Sus scrofa: one gene and its partners. The protein of the gene in region 5 purifies or fractionates together with the protein of the main gene of each other region. This does not show direct contact. Links are inferred from orthologs where the notes say so. Each region holds a gene or a part of one and is shown on either strand. Other genes may lie near its edges.

The links.
Region 1: the proteins of STIP1 (region 5) and ACLY fractionate together in Homo sapiens (co-fractionation; 3 studies listed by BioGRID, with this or other methods). This does not show direct contact. The link is inferred for Sus scrofa from reciprocal best matches to the Homo sapiens genes STIP1 and ACLY.
Region 2: the proteins of STIP1 (region 5) and CCDC117 purify together in Homo sapiens (affinity purification with mass spectrometry; 5 studies listed by BioGRID and IntAct, counting the BioPlex papers as one, with this or other methods). This does not show direct contact. The link is inferred for Sus scrofa from reciprocal best matches to the Homo sapiens genes STIP1 and CCDC117.
Region 3: the proteins of STIP1 (region 5) and VCP purify together in Homo sapiens (affinity purification with mass spectrometry; 4 studies listed by BioGRID, with this or other methods). This does not show direct contact. The link is inferred for Sus scrofa from reciprocal best matches to the Homo sapiens genes STIP1 and VCP.
Region 4: the proteins of STIP1 (region 5) and HNRNPDL fractionate together in Homo sapiens (co-fractionation; 3 studies listed by BioGRID, with this or other methods). This does not show direct contact. The link is inferred for Sus scrofa from reciprocal best matches to the Homo sapiens genes STIP1 and HNRNPDL.
Region 6: the proteins of STIP1 (region 5) and BAG2 purify together in Homo sapiens (affinity purification with mass spectrometry; 3 studies listed by BioGRID and IntAct, with this or other methods). This does not show direct contact. The link is inferred for Sus scrofa from reciprocal best matches to the Homo sapiens genes STIP1 and BAG2.

The regions. Positions count from the first base shown.
Region 1 is NC_010454.4:20,831,178-20,834,677, reverse strand, and holds part of ACLY (ATP-citrate synthase), read right to left. Parts: intron 2,481-3,500; coding exon 2,353-2,480; intron 1,293-2,352; coding exon 1,199-1,292; intron 142-1,198; coding exon 1-141. UniProt on the Homo sapiens protein: Catalyzes the cleavage of citrate into oxaloacetate and acetyl-CoA, the latter serving as common substrate in multiple biochemical reactions in protein, carbohydrate and lipid metabolism.
Region 2 is NC_010456.5:45,994,506-45,998,436, forward strand, and holds the start of CCDC117 (coiled-coil domain-containing protein 117), read left to right. Parts: upstream 1-1,131; 5' UTR 1,132-1,279; coding exon 1,280-1,461; intron 1,462-2,084; coding exon 2,085-2,141; intron 2,142-3,931. UniProt on the Homo sapiens protein: Facilitates DNA repair, cell cycle progression, and cell proliferation through its interaction with CIAO2B.
Region 3 is NC_010443.5:235,856,873-235,859,712, forward strand, and holds part of VCP (transitional endoplasmic reticulum ATPase), read right to left. Parts: coding exon 2,778-2,840; intron 2,428-2,777; coding exon 2,315-2,427; intron 1,919-2,314; coding exon 1,754-1,918; intron 1,661-1,753; coding exon 1,538-1,660; intron 1,278-1,537; coding exon 1,065-1,277; intron 862-1,064; coding exon 553-861; intron 278-552; coding exon 122-277; intron 1-121. UniProt on the Homo sapiens protein: Necessary for the fragmentation of Golgi stacks during mitosis and for their reassembly after mitosis. Involved in the formation of the transitional endoplasmic reticulum (tER).
Region 4 is NC_010450.4:135,805,530-135,807,950, reverse strand, and holds part of HNRNPDL (heterogeneous nuclear ribonucleoprotein D-like), read right to left. Parts: coding exon 2,377-2,421; intron 2,247-2,376; coding exon 2,132-2,246; intron 1,606-2,131; coding exon 1,435-1,605; intron 1,103-1,434; coding exon 1,032-1,102; 3' UTR 1,010-1,031; exon of another isoform or gene 633-1,009; 3' UTR 1-632. UniProt on the Homo sapiens protein: Acts as a transcriptional regulator. Promotes transcription repression. Promotes transcription activation in differentiated myotubes. Binds to double- and single-stranded DNA sequences. Binds to the transcription suppressor CATR sequence of the COX5B promoter.
Region 5 is NC_010444.4:7,910,943-7,915,000, reverse strand, and holds the end of STIP1 (stress-induced-phosphoprotein 1), read left to right. Parts: intron 1-1,902; coding exon 1,903-1,939; intron 1,940-2,150; coding exon 2,151-2,254; intron 2,255-2,450; coding exon 2,451-2,623; intron 2,624-3,065; coding exon 3,066-3,138; 3' UTR 3,139-3,558; downstream 3,559-4,058. UniProt on the Homo sapiens protein: Acts as a co-chaperone for HSP90AA1. Mediates the association of the molecular chaperones HSPA8/HSC70 and HSP90.
Region 6 is NC_010449.5:28,670,498-28,673,997, reverse strand, and holds part of BAG2 (BAG family molecular chaperone regulator 2), read left to right. Parts: intron 1-2,975; coding exon 2,976-3,085; intron 3,086-3,500. UniProt on the Homo sapiens protein: Co-chaperone for HSP70 and HSC70 chaperone proteins. Acts as a nucleotide-exchange factor (NEF) promoting the release of ADP from the HSP70 and HSC70 proteins thereby triggering client/substrate protein release.

The DNA of each region.
Region 1 (3,500 bases), on a different chromosome or scaffold from region 5:
GAGGAGGCCGAGGACCCCGCCGATGCCCATCTCCTCCTTGAAGACCTCGGTGATGGGCATGCCCGCGTAGATGAGCTCCTGTCCTCGCTCGTCGCAGATGCTGGTCATGAACGAGGCAGGTTTGCGGATCAAGCCCAGCTCCTGAGCAGAGAGGGGGGCAGAGGCAAGCGGGCTATGGTGACCACACGAGATTCTCCTGGGGCTGCCCCAAGGGTGTCTTAAGTTCTGGCGGTCAAGCAATGACTCTCAGAGTCCTCCCGAGAAGGTCCCGCAAAAACCCTTTTCTTAGATCATTTGGGGCATAGAAAGCAAGAGCGACCACGCCAGGGCACCCGCTCAGCCTCGGCACTGTTTCTGGCCCTTCCGTAGTATTTGCAGGGCCAGGCACGGCGGTAAGCTTTGGGCACCCATTGGTTTATTTGATCTCACACCGGACCCAGGTCACCTGGCTAAGAAATGGAAGCATGAACGCAAAGGGGAAAAGTGAAGTGTCAATACTTCACACGCAGCTAACAAGCACCCCCGCCAAAGTGTAATAAGGCAGAGGTTGGAGAAATAGGGGATCCCCTCAATGTGTCCTTTTCCTGGGGGAGGAGGCTGAGCTCCTAAATCTTCCATTTCCAGAGCTGGGGCACAACAAGGGTAGCATTAACTAATTGCCAATTATCCCTTCTGAACATTAAGAAATGCTTCGATCTGTTTCTGTTGTTGTTGTTGTCTTTTTAGGGCCACACCCGTGGCATATGGAGGTTCCCAGGCTAGCGGTCGAATCGGAGCTATAGCCACCAGCCTACACCACAGCCACGCAAGATCCGAGCCGCGTCTGCAACCTACACCACAGCTCATGGCAACTCTGGATCCTTAACCCACTGAGCCAGGCCAGGGATCAACCTATGTTCTCAAGGATACTAGTCAGGTTTGTTACCACTGAGCCACAACGAGAACTCCAGCACAGTCACTCTTCATCTATGCCCCTGCCTTAGACAAGCAGGCAGAGTGGACTCTCTGCCCTGAAATCTCCTGGCAGGTATAAACAGCTTCAGGGGACACTGTCTGTCCCCACCCCCCGTTTCCAGGTCAGGCCACACAGCTACAGGAGACACACGTGGCCCCTTGCCCTCCTAAGCCCTGCATTTGACCCGTTGGTCAGAAAGGGCCACCTACGAACTCCAGCACACTCTGCACATGCAGTACCCACCCTGGCCCACGAGTAGTCCATGGGCACCGTTGGGGGCGGCACTTCCTGAGCAGGCACGATGACCCCTCTGGACACAAGATCCTCGTACACGGACCTGGGAGCCAGGGGGAAGGAGGGAGAAAAGACATCCATGTGGACTTTACTCTTTTGGGTTCTTCTAAGCCATCCCGCAAACGCTTCTCATCTAACCCCCAAATTTCAGGTTTTCCAGCTTCGTATCCCTTCCTACCAGCAGCTTACTCTTACCAGCTGAATCTTTTTTTTTACCCTTTTTTTTTTTTTTTTTTTCCATTTTAGGGCTGCACCCGCAGCACATGGGGGTTCCCAGGCCAGGGACTGAATTGGAGCCACAGCTACCGGTCTACACCACAGCCACAGCAATGGGGGATCTGAGCTGCGTCTGCCACCTACACCACAGCTCACAGCAATGCCCGATCCTTAACCTACTGAGGGAGGCCAGGGATTGAACCCACATCCTCACAGGTATTAGGTTTGTAACCGCTGAGCCGCAACTTGTAACCCTCGCCCTCTCCACTTTTTTGGCTGCCCAGTGGCAAATGGAGTTCCTGGGCCAGGGACTGCATCCGAGCTGCTGTTGAGACCTATGCCACACCTGCAGCAATGCTTGATCCTTTAATCCACTGTGCTGGGCCAGGTACTGAACCTTGCCTCCTGGCACTGCAGAGACACTGCCGATCCTGCTGTGCCACAGTGGGCGCTCCAGATTCTTGAGAACTAAATGAAAATAGGTTCTAGCCAAGAACTGTGCCTCCCTTCTGAGTGGGTCTTTCGAATCTGGAGGCCAAGGAAGGACAGAGGGGAGGAGTGGGAAGGGACCACAGCTTGTCCAACAGCTCTTTGTCAACTGATTAGAGGTGACAGTTTCTAAATATTTCCGTGCTCATCTCTCATACATGGCCAGTAGGTAGGCTCAGAAACTGACCATTTTAACACCAGTCTGAACGCCTGTAACTGCTGTTTCTGGAGACAAATAAAACAAAGCCAAAAAGAAAGAATTCTGGACGATCCACAGAGCTGCCTCAGACACCTGAGATGGCCCAGGGACATCGGACCTGTATTCTGAAGAGGCTGCTGTCCTCAGGAGGGACCTGGAAAGGGACAAGGAGGTGGCACCCTCCGCAGAGTTCACTCACTGGATGATCTCTCCAAGCTCATCGAAGCTCCGGGGCACAAACACGCCCGCCTCCTTCAAAGCCTGGTTCTTGGCTATTGCGGTTTCAGAAGCCTGGTTGGCACAAGCTCCAGCGTGGCCGAACTGCACCTGGAAGGCAAAGGACAGTGGTTCTACCAGGCCTGTTGTCCCTTGAGAGAGAGGACAAAGGCTCCTGGGAGTGTCAGCCGTGATGACAGGCCGGGCCGGCTCGGCACTCTACGTGAAATCACTTCAACCCTCTGGAGAGCTCTAAACAGCACAGTGGTTGACTCTCATTTACAGATGAGAACCGAAGGCACAGAGAGGTCCAGGAGCTTACTCAAGGTCACACAGCTGCTGCCCTGGCACCAGGATACAAAACCTGGCTCCCGCATCCACAAATACCACCATTTCGCTTTCCCAGGGACACTGGTCAGGATAAAGGGGGTGGAGAGACAGACGGAGAACGGTGGTTAGTTTTGAGCAGCTGTGAGAAGTGAAGTTACATGGAGCTCCCGTTGTGGCTCAGCAGAAAACGAATCTGACTAGGAACCATGAGGTGGCAGGTTCAATCCCTGGCCTCACTCAGTGGATTAAGGATCCAGCATTGCCGTGAGCTGTGATGGAGGTCACAGATGCGGCTTGGATCTGGCGCTGCTGTGGCTGTGGTGTAGGCCGCGGCTACAGCTCCAATTAGACCCCTAGCCTGGGAACCTCCATATACCGAGGGTGCGACCCTAAAAAGCAAAAATAAAGAAAGAAGGAGATGGAGGAGTTCCCTGGTGGAGCAGGAGGTTAAGGATGCAGTGATATTACTGCTTTGGCTTGGGCCACAGCTGTGTGGGTTTGATCCTTGGCCAGGGAATTTCCGCATGCCAGCCCAATCAAAAGAAAAAAAGAAAAAGGAAAAATAAAACACCTCAAAGACCTGCCTGCCCTGCCCACGGGGCAACGATGACTGCCTGACCAGAAAAAGAAAAGCAGGGTCCTTGCCTGCCTGGAGGTGCCCTGGACAGTGTGAGGGTGGGAAGGTGGGGTGCTCGTCATGCAAAGTGGGTGAGAGAAACCCGGCAGAGGGAGAAAGGAGCTCTTCCCGACTGTAGAGGCAGAAGGGAAAGCGGCCATGAAGAAAGAGAATCAGCGACGGCT
Region 2 (3,931 bases), on a different chromosome or scaffold from region 5:
AAAGGCCTTACTCACTGATTAAATACAAACAAAAAATACAGGTGTCAATGATGATGCTTAGGGTTTTAATTAGAAAGAGAAAAAAATCTTCTGACAGATGAAACTGGCCTGTAATATCAGGTGAACCCTGGTGTTTCATGTTAAATAATTTCACAGAACATCCGCATCAAACCAGCACTAAGATAATGGATCAAGATAAAAACAAGACCACTTTGTAATCAGGTCTGAACACAGACAAAAATGTGAACATTGTCCAAACCACAAAAGTGACCAAACATCTCCCATCTTGGCTAATAGGAAGGACTGCTGTTTCTTTACCAGTTATACATTTAGCCTCCCTTCATTCCTCCCACCTTCTAGAAAAGATTGCCTAAATACCCGTACAGCAGAGCCCTGCTTCCTGGAGCCCTCTCCCAAATCGCCTATGACACACCCAAATCCAGTGAGACTCCTTTCCCAATACCTTGTTCCTGGCACCCTCTCTCACTGCCTTATCTCAATAAATCCACCTTTTGTTCAAATGTAGGTGTATTCTTGGTGGTCTTTGGCTGAGGGGCATTGATTTTGGTTTAAGGAACTCAGATTAGATGACCGTGCTGGTGCCGCTTCCTGAGATGGGGGAAATGGGTGTGATTAGTGGTTGAGATGACCAACTCGGATGGCCCCTCTGGCAAGTCCTGGACCCAGATTGTAAGGCTTGCCAGGATCTCTCACAAGCGCTCTGAGGTGTTCTCTGATCCTCCACCCTGTTCCTTCTAAGGCATTACCAACTTCATTTATGTTGAAACAGAAGGAATTAGCAGCTCATTTTAAATGTGTACCAGATGCCAGGGAGTGTTTGAAGGGCTCTAGATGTTTTCATTCATTTACTTCTCCTATCAGCCTTATGAACGTTGATACTACTATTTTTGGGTTTTACTGATGCGATACCTGAGGTTCAGAGGTTCCCTAACTTGCACAGCAATGATTCGAACCCAGGTCTTACTCCAGGTTGGCCAGTGTCACCCTGGACTCCTGGGTAACTAGGCCGAGGCGGCCATCTTGCCTGTGGTATGTACGGACTGCAAGTCCCGGCAGCCCTCGCGGTGGCAGCCTTCTGCACACAACAAATCCCGGCCTGCCCCTGGGCGGTCCGGGGTGGAGGGTTCTAGAAGGAGTGACGTGGGGTCTGGAGCGGGCTCGGAGGCGGGCGCCTCACGGCAGTAGCTGTGGCCGCAGCGCCGGGCCTGGGGACGTGGGCGGTCGGGGCCGCGGACGCAGCTTCCTCATCTCCCCGGCCATGGCCGCGCTTGGCCGGCCCTTCAGCGGCCTCCCCCTGAGCGGCGGCTCGGACTTCCTGCAGCCGCCGCCGGCCTTCCCCGGCCGGGCCTTCCCGCCGGGGGCGGACGGCGCCGAGCTGACCCCGCGGCCGGGACCCCGCGCTGCCCCGAGCAGCCCCGGCGGGAGCGCGGCGCGCGGACGGTGAGGAGCCCGGCGGGCGGGCAGGCGCGGGCTCGTTGACACTCCCCACGACCCTCGGCGGGGTCTTCTCCGTCCCAGGTTGCTGAGGCAGAGAGTGAGCCCCAGAGTCCGTTACCGTAAGTCGCCTGAGGTCGCACAGCGCGGGCGTCCGGCTCGGACCTCGGGCTGCCTGTGCCTCGGTGAGTGAGGAGAAAGTCCCGAGTTCGCCCAGGGAGAGCGGAGATGGGAACCCGGGCCGACCCGAGCCTGGGTCGGACCGCGGGGCGGCCGCGGCTACTGGTAACCTTTCGGCGCCTCTCGGACACTGAGTTTCTTCATCCCCAACTTGGGACAGAAATGGGTCCTCCTAGTGAGATTATAAAGTGCTTAGCACAGTCCTTGTCTCGAATGCGTTGTTATGCCCCAGATAAATCTCCCACGGTTTCGACCAAATGAGAAGTTTAGATTGCAGTTTCTATGCATGTCAGGACCACCCAGCATTTATACCTGACTGACCTTGTTACCGGCACTTCCATCCCCCTCGGCAAGGAAGGGGACAGCTGATAGGTTTGGGCTGGGCAGGATATCGGAGGTAGAGTAGATCTAATAAATTTCTCATCTGACTTGATTTTTGTTTGTTTCAGCAGTGTTTCTGATCACTGTAGAAAGAAACACAAGCGAGAGGAGGAGGAGGATGATGAGTAAGTTTCAGGTGCCTTTTTATTCACTTAATGGTCACTTAATTTAACCTATTTTCTGTCCACAACTGCTTGTTTTAAGTGAGTTGAAATATTAGGTGTCTGTGAAAAGAGGCTCAGGGAAATAATAACGAGTCGCCTTTTAGAGAAGGGAGCTAAGCAGGTCAGAGGTAAACTTTTCACTCTTGGGCAATTGTAATTTTGAATTTTGAGCCATGTGAATATTATTACATGCACAGAGTAAAAGAATTCACAGAAAGCTACATATTGAAAAGTCTTAAAACTCTTTGCTCCCAGTTCTACCCAGAGGTTACATTTGTTACCTGTTTCCTATTTCTCCTAAGGAAGATAGTATAAACAAGTTTATAACTGTATACTTCTGGTTTTTTAGATTTGTAGCCCGATACTATTCACATTGCAACGCGTTGGTCTTTTCATTTTACTCTCCTGGGGCACATAGAGTTCTACCTAACTTTTTCAAAAGTTGAATTCTATTGTAAGGCTAGGTATAGGTCATTAAGCAGTCAGCTAGTGTTGGATTTCTAAATTAATTGGAACCTTTTGTTATTACTAACAGATCTACCATGCCTGTCATTTTTTTATTAAAGTATATTTGATTTACAGTGTGTCAGTTTTTGTTGTACAGCAAAGGACTATCATTCTTTTTAAGTTCTTTGTATATATTTGCAAGTAGATAAAGGAATTTAATTGTTGGATTTTAAAGCCTATGCGTTTTGAATTTTGAAGAAGAGTTGTTGTCAGTGTATAGGCCTTAGGCCTTTTATCAGTGGGTATGGCTGTTTCTCCATCTTCTCACCAGAACTGTATTTTCAAACTTTTTGATCACCACTTAGCTGTTAGGTAAAAATTGCATGTCATAGGCAGTCTAAATTTTTTTTTTCCTTTGTGTTTTCAGGTTCTCACCTGCAGCATATGGAGGCTCCCAGGCTAGGGGTCTAATCGGAGCTGTTGCTGCTGCCTATGCCAGGGCCACAGCAACGTCAGATCCTTAACCCACTGTGCAAGGCCAGGGATTGAATCTGCAACCTCATGGTTCCTAGTCGGATTTGTTTCTGCTGCGCCACAATGGGAACTCCTCATAGGCAGTCTAATTTAAGAGTAAGAGACTTCCTCAAAGAGGATATCCAAATAACTGATCAAATGGAAAGATGTTCAACCTCATCATTCTGTAGGGAAATGCCTCTTAAAAGCACAGTGGGAAAATGAGAGAAAACCACATCTTTCTGGACCCCATGTTGGTACCTCTCCCACCTTTGAGAGATAAAAATCCCTCTAGGACAATAGAGAAGGGGACTCGTCTCCCGCCTCCCAGCTGCCCTGGGAGCTATTTGCTTTTCTTTAATAAAGACTTTGCTTGCTTAAAAAAAAAAAAAAAAAGCACAGTGGCATAGTACTCTATCTACCACTGGTATTGGAGGGTTACAGAGCACCAGGAACTCTTCAAACACTGTGGATGAGAATATAAATTGATACTCTTTGGGAAACAATTTTGTGTTAGCTAATGAGTTGAAGGCATGCATACGTACCTATTTACCCAGCTGTTCTCATCAGGAGACACAAGAAAGTTCATAGCACCCTTATTCATGAGTTCAAAATTGGAATGTCCCAGAGTTCCCATTGTGGGCCAGTGGTTAACGAATCCTACTAGTAACCATGAGGTTTCTGGTTCGATCCCTGGCCTTGCTCAGTGCGTTAAGGATCCAGTGTTGCTGTGAGCTGTGGTGTGTCACAGACCCAGCTTGGATCCTGAGTTGCTGTGGTTGCACCGTAGG
Region 3 (2,840 bases), on a different chromosome or scaffold from region 5:
TCTGTTGAACATCTCAGTCAGATGATCTTTCCAAAACCTTGTACTCTTAACTCCAGGGCACTGTGGAGATTGTCCCTGGCTCCCCATAACTGGCACATCTGGGGAAAGGATACAGACTCACCATGGCCGATGGGTTGGTCTGCCTCTCCCGTTCTCGCCTAATCTCACTCTCGATTGATTCTCGGATGGCCAGCTTGCAAGCACGTTGGCAAATCTCTGTCAAGTCAGCTCCAGAGAAGCCATTAGTCATCTTAGCCAGGAACTCCAAATCCACATCCTAAAAGAAGCGACAGAGCTACCTCAGCATTTAGCTTCTTCTCCAGTGATACACTGATCTTTCAATCAAGCACTCTCAATTTCAGTGTGTCCCATCTTCTGCCACCCTGTTTTACTCCTTAATTCTAGATTATCCTAATACCCTCAAGTCTTCTATCTTCCCTTTAAACCATAACCCCAGAAATCCCCAAAGGAATCTTGTCCAGGAACCAAAGAGAATTTTACACTAGCCTGAGGATTCAGAGAAATCCCCAAGACCCAAGATCTTGCACCTGCCTTGGCAACGGGGGACTTGCGCAGGTTGGCCTTGAGAATGGCGACACGGGACTTCTCATCAGGAAGTGGGATGTAGATGAGCTGATCAAGGCGGCCAGGTCGCAAGATGGCAGGATCAATGATGTCAGGTCGGTTGGTAGCGCCAATGATAAACACATTTTTTTTTGTGGACATGCCATCCATTTCTGTCAAGATCTGGTTGATGACTCGGTCGGCAGCCCCACCACCATCTCCAATGTTGCCACCACGGGCCTTGGCAATTGAATCCAGCTCATCAAAGAACAGTACACAGGGGGCAGCTTGGCGGGCCTGTGTGAGGGACAGATGGACTCAAGCATTAGCACAGTTGGGTCTCTTGACCTGAGAAGGAACGGAAAATAAAGTGACCTGCACTGCCCCAGCTGAGGTGCCAGAACCAGATGGTTTTAAATTCAATTCTCCCAAAGAAATAGCCTCTATCCCTAACTTGTCCCCAGGCAAGTGAATTGACAGTCCAGCCACTTGTAGCTCACCTTGTCAAAGATTTCCCTAACATTGGCCTCTGATTCCCCAAACCACATGGTGAGCAGCTCAGGACCTTTGATGGAGATGAAGTTGGCCTGGCACTCATTAGCAATGGCTTTGGCCAGCAAGGTTTTCCCACAGCCAGGAGGTCCATAGAATAGCACTCCCTTGGAGGGTGTCATGCCAAACTTGAGGAATTTGTCTGGGTGCTCCACAGGATACTAGGAGGAAAAGAAAGGTGGGTTCAGGGATATCCTCAGAGTTGGAAAGAAATCTAACCAAAGAGAAGATCCTCCCAAACCACCCCATGGCACAAGACCCAGGTTCCCTAAAAGCAGGCTCCTTAGTGCCTCCAACCTGAGGATAGTAGGTTTCTGAATTATGCTCACAATTTCTGCAATGAATGTGCCAACACCCCAATACTACCCAGTTCAATTACAATGGACTGAGGTAGAGACTCACCGTGGACTAAATACCCTACCTGGACCAGCTCCTGAAGCTCACGTTTGACATCCTCCAAGCCCCCAATGTCCTCCCAGGTCACCTGTGGCACCTCTACCACAGTTTCCCGAAGTGCTGATGGGTTGCTCTGGCTTAGGGCCCACTAAAAATGGAAGAAAAACTGGAGATGAGACTTGAAGGGGACAAATCAAAGTGCACGTGTGTGTATACCTGTGATATGAGAGCAGTGCCTTACTCGGAAGTCATCCATGGTAACTGCCAGGGAGTTCATGACCTCAGCATCGATGGTTTCGTCTTCTAGGTCAATGAGGTCCATCTTTTTGCGGATGGCTTGCAGAGCAGCCTCTGAGCACAGGGCTGCTAAGTCAGCACCAACATGCCCATGAGTTTCATTGGCTACCTGCAAAGAGAAGATCTACTTACTATCCTGTCTCTGAGCTGCCTTAGGAAGCTCGGAGACAAAAGAATTCTGGCCCCTTTCCCTGACTCCTATCTCTGGGCCCTCCATTTCCTGAACACATACTAGCAGTACTTTCACTAACTGGGTTTTAAGTATTCAAACATGGACTTGGGGCCTGGAAATAAAGCTGCCCCCAAAATTCTGCTTCACTCTAATCCAACCAAGAAACCATGCCAACTCTAATTTCCTGGATTCAATTTCATAACACTTCCCTTCCCCTGCTCAGGAATCAAAATCAGTTTCCTCACATTTTAAGCTTATGTCCCTAACTCAGTTCCCTTCAACTGCCTGGAAACAGATATCCTAATTTCTGGCCAGCCCTCATCACCACTCCACCTGTTCAAGGTCCACATCATCTGCCAGCTTCATATTCTTGGTATGGATTTGAAGAATTTCCAAGCGTCCTGTAGCATCAGGAATTCCAATATCTACCTCCCTGTCAAAGCGACCTGTATGACAATGCATAAAAACAGATAGGGTTCATTTCTGGTCCAGAAGAAGGGGCAGGCCTAAGATGACCAATCATCCTGGTTTACCCAGGAATCTCTTGGAATTAGCATTGCAATCTCCATATCCGGGGAAATCCCTCAGTCTCAGGCAAATTAGGATGGCTGGTCACCCTAGACACATGAAATAAGCAAAAGGACCCCTGGGCCCTAACATTGCATAGAGCTTTAAGAAATCCTCAGGATTAGGTGACTTAGATGACAGAGAAATATGGGAGTAACAGGATTTAAACCAGTAAAGCCATCATCGTCCCATGAGTAAGGACTGCAAAAAAGAAATTTTGGGTCCTCACCAAATCGTCGTAGGGCTGGGTCAATGCTGTTGGGTCTGTTGGTTGCTGCCATGACAATCACAT
Region 4 (2,421 bases), on a different chromosome or scaffold from region 5:
GGTAATTAGTAAATGCACCCTGGAGTTCCCGAATGCCATTAAATTTACTTAGAAAATCTGGGAAAGCCATCTTCCCATATTCACAGGTCGAACTGTGCTAGATCAAGGTCTACTAGAAGCATCTCTAGTAAGCCACGTCCAATGCAATTACAAACACAAATTTCTAATAGGCTTGTATTGCAAGAAAACAAATTGCTCTGTGCATATGATCTTTAATTTGTATCCCAGATTTTAAAGTTCTTGTTTTGGTTTGTAGATTTCACTATTAGCTATAAAAAGAAAAAGCAAGCATTAAATCTTAAAGAATGAACACTTAAAATGAGGCTCCACAATTGAAATACAACACTAAACAGAAGACCAAAATGATTAAGCTGTAAAAAGGCATTTATGTACTTTAACTCCTGTAAAAAACCATTTAAGTTAAGTTTAGACACTTAATCTTCAAAAAGATTAAAAAAAAGAAGCCAAAGTCTGAAGTTTTCCACTTTAATCTTTACGCTGGTACATGAAGTTGGAAGAGACCATACCACAGGACAGCGTTTTCTGGTGTATGCCTTGCGCTCTGCCCGCAACGTGCGACCCCCAGAGATAGACGTGGTCAGGGTGACACACGGCCTGCAATGAAGTTCCCGCTGGCGGGTACAAACAAGGTATAATGTCAGAGTTAGAAGACAACATTCTTGTTTTCCTTAAGTTGTACCCATTTCAGTACTTTACCTGTTAATAGTTCTAAAAAAGTTTAATTACTCCTCTAGACCACCTGGTACACAAAGCAAACAGAAAAACTCTTAAGTTTTTCTGTAATACTAAAAAAAGTGAGATAAAACTTTTTAAAAGTTAAAGATCTATAGACACTTTAGGCAAAACAGGCTCATAATGCAAGTTAAAAAGTAAACAATTGAGTAAAAACAGACTACATGATATTTTGTTTTTACTTATTTTTCATTTGTCTATTGATCTTTAAATTAAATTAGACATTTCCACTGGTTTCTCGAACGCTTATACACACCTGTTTTCTCCAATGTCCCCCTTTAGTATGGCTGGTAATTATTTTGGTGATTGCCACCCCCTCGAGATGCCTTGCCATAAGTGCTCTGTTGGCCTATTTTGAAAAGACAAAAAAAGATGCTCAGTTTTAAATGAAATGCTTTCATTATAAATGCATCTTAAAGACTATTAAATATGCAAAATTCTGCATACCCACTATTAAAACAGTCAGATATTAAAGGCATTGTCAACTAACCACATCACATTCTAGAATGGCTGCAGTGACCAAAATCAGTATCATTTCCCATGACTATTAAATGCCTCAAAAAAGTAACTCCGCAAACACTTCAATAGGAAACCTCCCCTCCCACAGCCTCAGAATGGGCCTGTACTTCAGCACTGAACTTTCGTACCATTGGTTTATGAAGTTAAGTTAAATATTCTTACCACTGTAGTCTGCATATCCCTGTCCATATCCATAGTTCCCATAGTTATACCCAGTATAATCATAGCCGCCATAGCCACTATAGTTTTGATCACCACCATAGGCACTATTGTAATTTCCATATCCTTGATCATAATAGTTATTAAATCCTTGGTTCCAGTTTTGGCCCTGACCTGAAACAATGCACAATGATTGTTAGGAAATACCTTCTGACCTCCAATCCTAACATAAAATGATGAGTTCCTGTCTCTCACTCTGCAAAAAGTTAACAAAAGCAGAACGGTCATCTACATTGCTATCTGATCAAGAAAGTATTATCATCAGTTACCATGGGGGGGGGGGTGCGCAGAAAGTCCAATTGTGCCAGCATCAGGCTTCTTAAATTTAATGAAAAAAATCAGGACAAAAACAAAGGTGAAGACAAAGGTGTTTAGGTTTAAAATAAGGACTCTTGCCCTTGAAAACCTACTACACCAAAGTGCATCACCACGTTAACATGACATTTAATGGTGTTTTTTTTTCCCCATCAGCAATGACACCATCAGAGTGGCCATTCTTTTAATAACAAAAATCCACCCACCAAGCTGAGCATTTTCCATGTTGGAACAGTTGACATTTGACTTGACTTTGCTATGGGCCTATTCACATTTGGCAGCTTATAGCTCAGACCGCTGAGGCATTTCCCAGGCAAAGTCTCACCTCGTCCACGACCCCTAGTACCACCTCGTCCGCCAGCTGCAGCACCTCTTCCTCCTTTCTGTTGTTGCTGTTGCTGCCTATACACCTCTTTGGGTTGTGCAACTTTGATTTCACACTATAACCAAAATTAAAAATAGAATTGTTACGAAAGTCGAGCCATTTTTTACCTTCTCAAAAGAGGCTGAGTAATTTCACTTAAAAAAGTGCCTCATATTTTTCATTGAAGAGAGTCAAAATGGCTTTACCTTCCCAGAACCAATTTGATGATATCGGCTTTCTAACAATTTCTT
Region 5 (4,058 bases):
GTTAAGTATCTTCACATTGTTGTGCAGTTGTCACCACTGTCCATCTCCAGGACTTTTTCATCTTCCTAAATGGAAGCTCCGTGCCTTCTAAACACTTAACTCCCCATCCTTCTACCTGAGCTCCTGCAACCACTGTTCTCCTTCTGAATCTGATTGCTCTGGGGACCTCTTGTAAGTGGAATCATACGATATTTGGCTTTTTTGTATGTGGCTTATGTCACTTAGTGTAATGTTTTCAAGGTTCGAGTTGTAGTGTGTGTCAGCATTTCTTCTTTCCTTGTCTTGGCTTTTTAGGGCAACACCCGTCGCATATGGAAGTTCCCAGGCTAGGGGTCGAAGATCTTAGTTTTGCTATTATTAGGTGCTATTGTGGCTGGATGGAGAGTCACTTCAAGAGATATGCTCATGAATTTAGAGATCAAGTGCTAAAATACATCATTTCCTTTCACAAATGGTTCAGCAAAAATGTGCCAATGCACAACTGCCGGCCTATACCACAGCCACAGCAGTGCAGGATCCAAGCTACATTTGTGACCTAGAGCACAGCTCATGGCAATGCCAGATCCTTAAGGATCGAAGCTGAGTCCTCATGGACTCTAGTCAGGTTTGTTATTGCTGAGCCACGATAGGAGCTCCCCAGCATTTCTTTTTTTAAGGCTGAGCTACAGTCCACTGTGTGGACAGGCCACCTGTTTGTCAGTCTGTCTGTCCACGGACCTTGGGTTTCCACTTTTCAGCTGTTCTGAATAATGCTTCTGTGAACGTGGGTGTACAGATAGAGTTCGAGTCCCTGGTTTCCATTCTCAGATACTGTGTCCGTTGGTGGAAGTACTATCTCCGTGTCTTTTGAGGAGCTGCCCTATTTCCCACAGCAGCTTTGCCATCCTTCCTTACTCCAGTTGATGGGTCTGCTGTCTTCCGGCGCAGCGAGTGTGGTCGGGTAGGATGGATGCTCTTCCGACACCTAGAGGAGCTACTTCTGTGGCTCTCTGTCTAGTGACAGCAGTACCTGAGCTCTCATGGTTTTGTTTGATGCTCTACTGTCTTGATGTAGAGGCACCAAAACAGTATCAGTCACCTAGAGGTGGAGCAGGACTTTCCCAGGCTGCAGATGGAGGAGGGAGTAAATGGAATCACGTCTGGCCTTGGAGCTTCTTGGGGGAAGAGTTTGACGTAGGCTTCGGTGCACGTACTACACGCATAGCATTCTTTTCCCCATAATTTTATGTTTTGAAGATACTTCAGGCAAAAATACACAGAATACTTAAGTGTTTACCACTTTCACTCACATGTGAGCATTGGCACATTTTTGCCGAACCATTTGTGAAAGGAAATGATGTATTTTATTAGCACTTGATCTCTAAATTCAAGAGTATATCTCTTGAAGTGACTCTCCATCCAGCCACAATAGCACCTACTAATAGCAAAACTAAGATTGGTAATGTCATCTATTATGTGTGTATATTCAGATTTCCCCGTTTGTCTGAAAAATAGGTTGTCAGTCTCAAGGCCTATCCATGTCACCTGGTGATCATGTCCACTTCAGTTTCTCAAACTGGTTTTCCCACCTTTTGTGTCGTCGTTTCCCCGCCCCCTCCCCCGCTCCACAACATCAGCCTTTTGAAGAGTCCGGGCGCTTCGTCCTAACACAGAACAGTCCATGGTCCACGGTCTGGACTCTCGTCCCTGGTGGCTCTGCTGACCTTGCTTTCTCTGCTGTCCTTGTGCCAGGCTCCTGTCAGTTGTCCAGATGCCGGGGTTAGGGAGCACTGGGGTCAAAAGTAGAATGTTCTGTGATGGCTGCGAGTGAACAGTCAGATTTGTAATTCCAAATAATCCACCTGCTCTAAAGTAACTTGACTGAAGGAAGAAGCCTAATTCTTTTTTGCCTTTCCTTCCTAGGACTGTGAGGAGTGCATCCAGCTAGAACCTACCTTCAGTAAGTGCCTTTCTGGGCTGCTCCTCTGTCCCTGATGTGCCAGAGAATTGAGAGGAGGAGAGAGCCTGCTCTTTGCCTGTGTCTTTGGAACCTTGCGTGTTTACAAGCTCACATTGGGCCGGGGATGCTGGTGTTGAGATAAAGGGGTGGCAGAGCAGCCTTCAGAGGTGTGTTTGGGGTGATGTCTCACCGCTCCCCTCTCTGCCTACAGTCAAGGGCTATACCCGGAAAGCAGCTGCCCTGGAAGCCATGAAAGACTACACGAAAGCCATGGACGTCTACCAGAAGGCGCTCGACCTGGATGCCAACTGTAAGGTGGGGCTGCGTCTGGCCTTCGGCGAGCTCTCCCCACCCGCCACTCCCCTTTGTGTCTTTGCGGTGTCCTTCACCCACCCCTCCTCGCCCGATTCTCTGTAGTCCGTCCCCTTCTCAGTGGCTTCTGTTGGTTACCTTGCCAGCAGTGAGCCGGGCAGTGCTAACGCCCTCCCCTTTTGGCTTTGCTGAAATGCAGGAGGCCGCCGACGGTTACCAGCGCTGCGTGATGGCCCAGTACAACCGACACGACAGCCCGGAAGATGTGAAGCGGCGGGCCATGGCCGACCCTGAGGTGCAGCAGATCATGAGTGACCCAGCCATGCGGCTCATCCTGGAACAGATGCAGAAGGACCCTCAGGCGCTCAGCGAGTAAGTCCGGTTGGGGGCGGGGTGTGCAGCCTCAGCAGGAGAAGGCGGACAAAAGCAGGGAGGGAGGCACATGTTGGCAGCAGTATGATGGGGCTGGGTGGGGACGTCTACTGTGTAATTCTTATTCAGGAGGTTGGCAGTGGTAGTGAGCTAGCGTTAGTGATGACGGCTCCAGCACTTCGTTGGGAAGGCCACTTTTGCTGGGGGAAAGGTCTCACTCAGCTGAGAGCTGTTGTCTGTGGACTCCTGCGCAGTGGGGCGGGCCAGGTTCCCAGCGCCGGCAGAGGGGGCCTGTGCGGTTCTCTGCTGGGCGGTCTTCACAGTTCCCCCTTCCCCACCTCCTGTTGGTGGCCTCAAGGGTTTGCAATGGAGCTTGCTCTGCGAGCAAGTAAATTTTTTAGGTAAAGTCTCATTTCAAATAACTTGGCCTCTTCTTTATCAGACACCTAAAGAATCCTGTAATAGCGCAGAAGATCCAGAAGCTGATGGACGTGGGTCTGATCGCAATTCGGTGATGACATGTTCGTCATCCCCCTTCCCTTCGTCCTCCTGTGGAAAGAGGAGCTGGGACGGCGGCACGCAGCACGGAGCAGAAGGGAGAGGAGGGGAAACAAGCGAACAACTGCTATATATTTATACAGACCCCTGTGGACGATGCAGAGACTTACACTCCGTTACTCGTGCAGCCGCTGCCTCTGGGCCCTCCCGGCACACGCATGGTCTCTTCTGCTGCCCTCGAGTTCCATGTCTCCTTCCCCTGCCCCCAGTCGCTGTCTCAGCTGCTCTCCCATAGTTGGTTATTTTTTATTTGGGACAGTGGGCTTGTATGGGGAGGGGAGGGTGTGCTTCCCAACCTCAGGTCCCAGCTGTTCTCACATTGTTAACTCCACGTCCTCTTCTCCAATAAAACAAGCCAGTCAGGCGTGGTTATACAAGGCTGTGTCCCTAATTTTTATGCCAAAAGATTTTGCTGTCCTGCGGGGTCACAGCCTGGGTTGGCAGAAGTGTGAGTGCAGATTGGCTCCTGAGAACCAGAGCCTGTCTGTCTGTCCTCAAGGGGTGGGGTCTGTGTGAGCTTGACCTGGTTCCACAGCCTAGTGAGGTGGCCGCTAGGTGGTGCTGTTGCTCAGTGAACCATTGGAGGGAAATCGGAGGCTCCAGCCCAGAGAGGCCCAGCTCCTGAGGTTCAGATGAACTTCCAGTTCTCCACATTCTAATCTCAAATCCACAAACCAGTTAGACCCAAAGGATGCTGGATCTCACCCGTGAAACAAAACCAATTTCCATTGCAAGAGATGCTTCAGACCTCCCTTTTGGAGAGCTGAAGTCTGTCAGCTGCTGCTTGTTAAGTTTTACTTCTTAACTCCCTGCCCTGGACTGAGCCTGAGCACTTTATCATGGTTGCAACAAACTTTCTAAAACCTTGGCCTGGGGT
Region 6 (3,500 bases), on a different chromosome or scaffold from region 5:
GCTTCGTGTTGAAACTTACGCTCATAAATGGGCCTCCTTCTGTAGAGTAACTCTCAGTTCTCTCTTTATCATCCTACATGTGCATACAGGCTCAGGAGGGCTGGAAAATTCATCTCTTCTGTCGGCATCTTCTCATTTACCAATCAAGTAATTCTTTGGTGCCATTGAAATGCTGGAGTCATGTTTTGTTTTTCATGAATGTCTCATTTTTGGTGCCAAGCTGACCCTTTTGGTGTGTGCCAGGCTCTAGAGTATGTGCCTGAGGTTCCCTAGGTTATATTAGAAGATTCCAGTTTCTATTCCCTAGTGTGTATTAAAGGGCACGAGTCTGTAATGAATGGGCTGGAACACAGCCTCATGCTGCGCTCTTACTGTTTGATAGACTATTGGTTTTGATTGCATTTTCCAGCTAAATTTGTCACATAAGATTCTTCCTCGCTCTTTGCTCCTGCTGGCTCTTATAAACACAGAGTCCAGCGTATATTTAGTATCTTGATGAATTCAGACCCTGTGACTACCGTCTGTCTGTCGGTGCTATTTCGGGGGACAACAGGTGGGTGCCCATTGGGAAGAAGGCCTGCGTGTGGCTGGTGGGGAAGGGCCATCCGTATATGGCCTGTGCTCACACTGCCTGGTGGTTCCTTCTGCGCCCACGGAGGGCACGGTCGGGATGAGGTCTGTGATCTTGTGCTTCCAAGGCCGCCTGAGTGTTGGAGCTACATCTGTCACTATTTATTTTGCAAAAGTCAGCAACTTGTTTAGTTGTGGTGTAATATATGTAAGAAAATGCCCTGGAAACAGAGCACCTTAAACACACAGGATTTTGTTTTCTTCTCCCCTGATTCCACAACCTGGTTCTTTAGTGACTGGCTGAGTCCGTAGTCGGTGCCTGTGTAGGGTTGGGGGAAGTGGTGCTTTGATAGTTTGATTAGGGCATCGTACCCAAAACCCACAGAGGCATTCTCTTTAAATTCGGAGAAGGCAAACATGCCCTTGCTCATCACCATCGTTTGGGCTTTTTTTCTTTTTCTTTTTTGGCCGCCCCAGGGCATGTGGATTCCCAGGCCAGGGATCAGATCCGAGCTGCAGCTGCAACCAATGCCACAGCTCAGCAACACTGGATCCTTAACCCACCGTGCTGGCCATTGTTTGATATTATATAGGAGGGCTTTGGTCAGTACTATGAGAAAGAAAAATAGGAGCTAAGAGGATTAAAAAGGCACAGATAAGGATTATCGTTTTTGCAGATGATATATATGATCATCCATCTAGAAGAACCAATGGAATCAAAAATCAAACCATTAAGTGAATAAGTGTTAAGGTGGCAGCTACAACATGAACTACAAAAACAGCATTTTTTTTTCCAACCAGCAATAGCCAACTAGAAAATGCAGTATATAGAAATGTATTATTCCCAATACCAACACTATCCAAAGTATCAAAACACTTAAAAGAGTCTGTACAACTACCATCAGTACTTCAGGGAGTTCCCGTTGTGGCTCAGGGGAAACAAATCCAACTAGGATCCTTGAGGTTTGATCCCTGGCCTTACTCAGTGGGTTAAGGATCCAGCATTGCTGTGCTTTGTGGTGTAAGTCGAAGATGCGGCTCAGATCTGGCGTGGCTGTGGCCGTGGTGTAGGCCTGCAGCTGCAGCTCCTATCTGACCCCTAGCCTGGGAACCTCCATGTGCCTCGGGTGCGGCCCTAAAAAGAAAAAGCAAAGGGTGTTGGTATAACAACAGGCACAGTGCCGAAAGATGGAATAGAGACTTCAGAGGCAGACAATCTACAAATCATTGAGGGAAAGATGGATTTGGGGATGGATAACGTTGGAGAAAATGGTTCACTATATGGAGAAAAAGAAACACATCTCCCCTAGCCACACACACAAGGTGGATTCTAGGTGGATTAGGACATAAGCATGGAAAGGTGAAGTCAGACGTTAGTAGACGGGGGTGCAGGAAAGCGTCTCAGGACCTGGGGAGGGGAGGGCCCTGCAGCAAAACTTCCCGATATGAGCCGTGAGGTAAAACCAAACCAAGCAGAGATGGACCTGACCCCTTCAGAACAAGGCCTTCTGCTCCATGAAGGACGCCCAGACACACTTCACAGGGGACAGGATGGGAGAAGGTGGTTGCAGGGCCTGTCACCAACAGGGCATTAACGCCTTGAGTGTGCACATGGCAGGGGGACAGTAACCCCAGTGTGCAAAAAGAAAAAGCAAGATAGGCAAAGGCTGCGAACAGCCTCACAAGGATACGGAGAGATGTCCAAAGTGATGAGTAATGAAAGAAGGGCAGATTAAGTACTGACGCAGCACCTACTACACTGACAGCAGAAGGTTAGAAAGTTGGGAAATGCTGAGCTTTGATAGGGCTGTGGGGACCCAGGGGCTTTCTGGAGAACAATCCAGAATGGAGCTGCATGAAGGGTCCGCACACCCTGCGAGGAAGCCGCCCTGCCCTGGGATGGTGCCTGTTATCAGGGCCCCGAGAGGACAGGTTGTCATTGACCTGTTACTGGAGGTGACGAAAAACTGGCGCCGAGGTACATCTCTACTGGGTCGGGGAGGTCAGGTCAGGTGGGGACACAAGGTGGCATTTTATGCGAGACCTAGGAGCTCCTGATTACACGTACTCGGAGGAACCTGGTGCTTCGTCATAAAATACACTGCGTGAGGGCAGAAACAGTGAGATATAAATAAGTTGAAAATAGGCGAGCACACAAGTATTCCGTTTTTTTGTAGAGCAAATACAAATAAATAAACGCTAAACAGAACTATTGCCCAGTGAGTGGGGAGGAAAATGGGAGCAGCAGGGCAAGTGGATTAAAAAGAAAACTTAAAAGCACAGAAAACAAGGAATACGGCATTTTTGGTTAACCATCTTTAACCGTGAGTTGGACTGAGGGATGGGGAGATGAGGCAGCCGTTCTGCTGTCTGGGTTATAACATCTGGCCCCCCTTGGTCCCCAGGGTGGAAGCTCTGCGAGAAGCGGCCACTGCCGTGGAGCAGGAGAAGGAGGTGCTGCTGGAGATGATCCACAGCATCCAGAACAGCCAGGACATGCGGCAGATCAGCGAAGGTGCGCTGCGGGGGGCGGGGGGGTGGGGGGGTCCTGGGGGTGGGTGGGGGAAGGGGGGCATCAGCAGAGCCACTCCTCCAGCCCGAGAGCTGCTCCAGGTCCATGCTTCCAAGAAGGGCCAGAGCTGTGCGGGATGTGAAAAGCAGTAGCGTCAGAGGGTGAGAGGTTGGGTGGAGGTGTCACTTAAAGGGGAGAAAGGCAGAGAAAGTGGATTATGGACCCAGTGACACCCGTTTCCAGAGGAAGAGCTTACTGCCCAAGAAGAGATGGGCTTGCTGGGAGGTGATTCTCTGCACACCCAGTGGTCCTCCCAGCCTGGCTCCCCGGGCTAATAGTTGCGTTGCTGGTGTCGTTCAGTGAGCGTCTAGCCCAGACCCAGACTGCTACGCAGCCTCAGCAGGGTCAAGATGTCAAG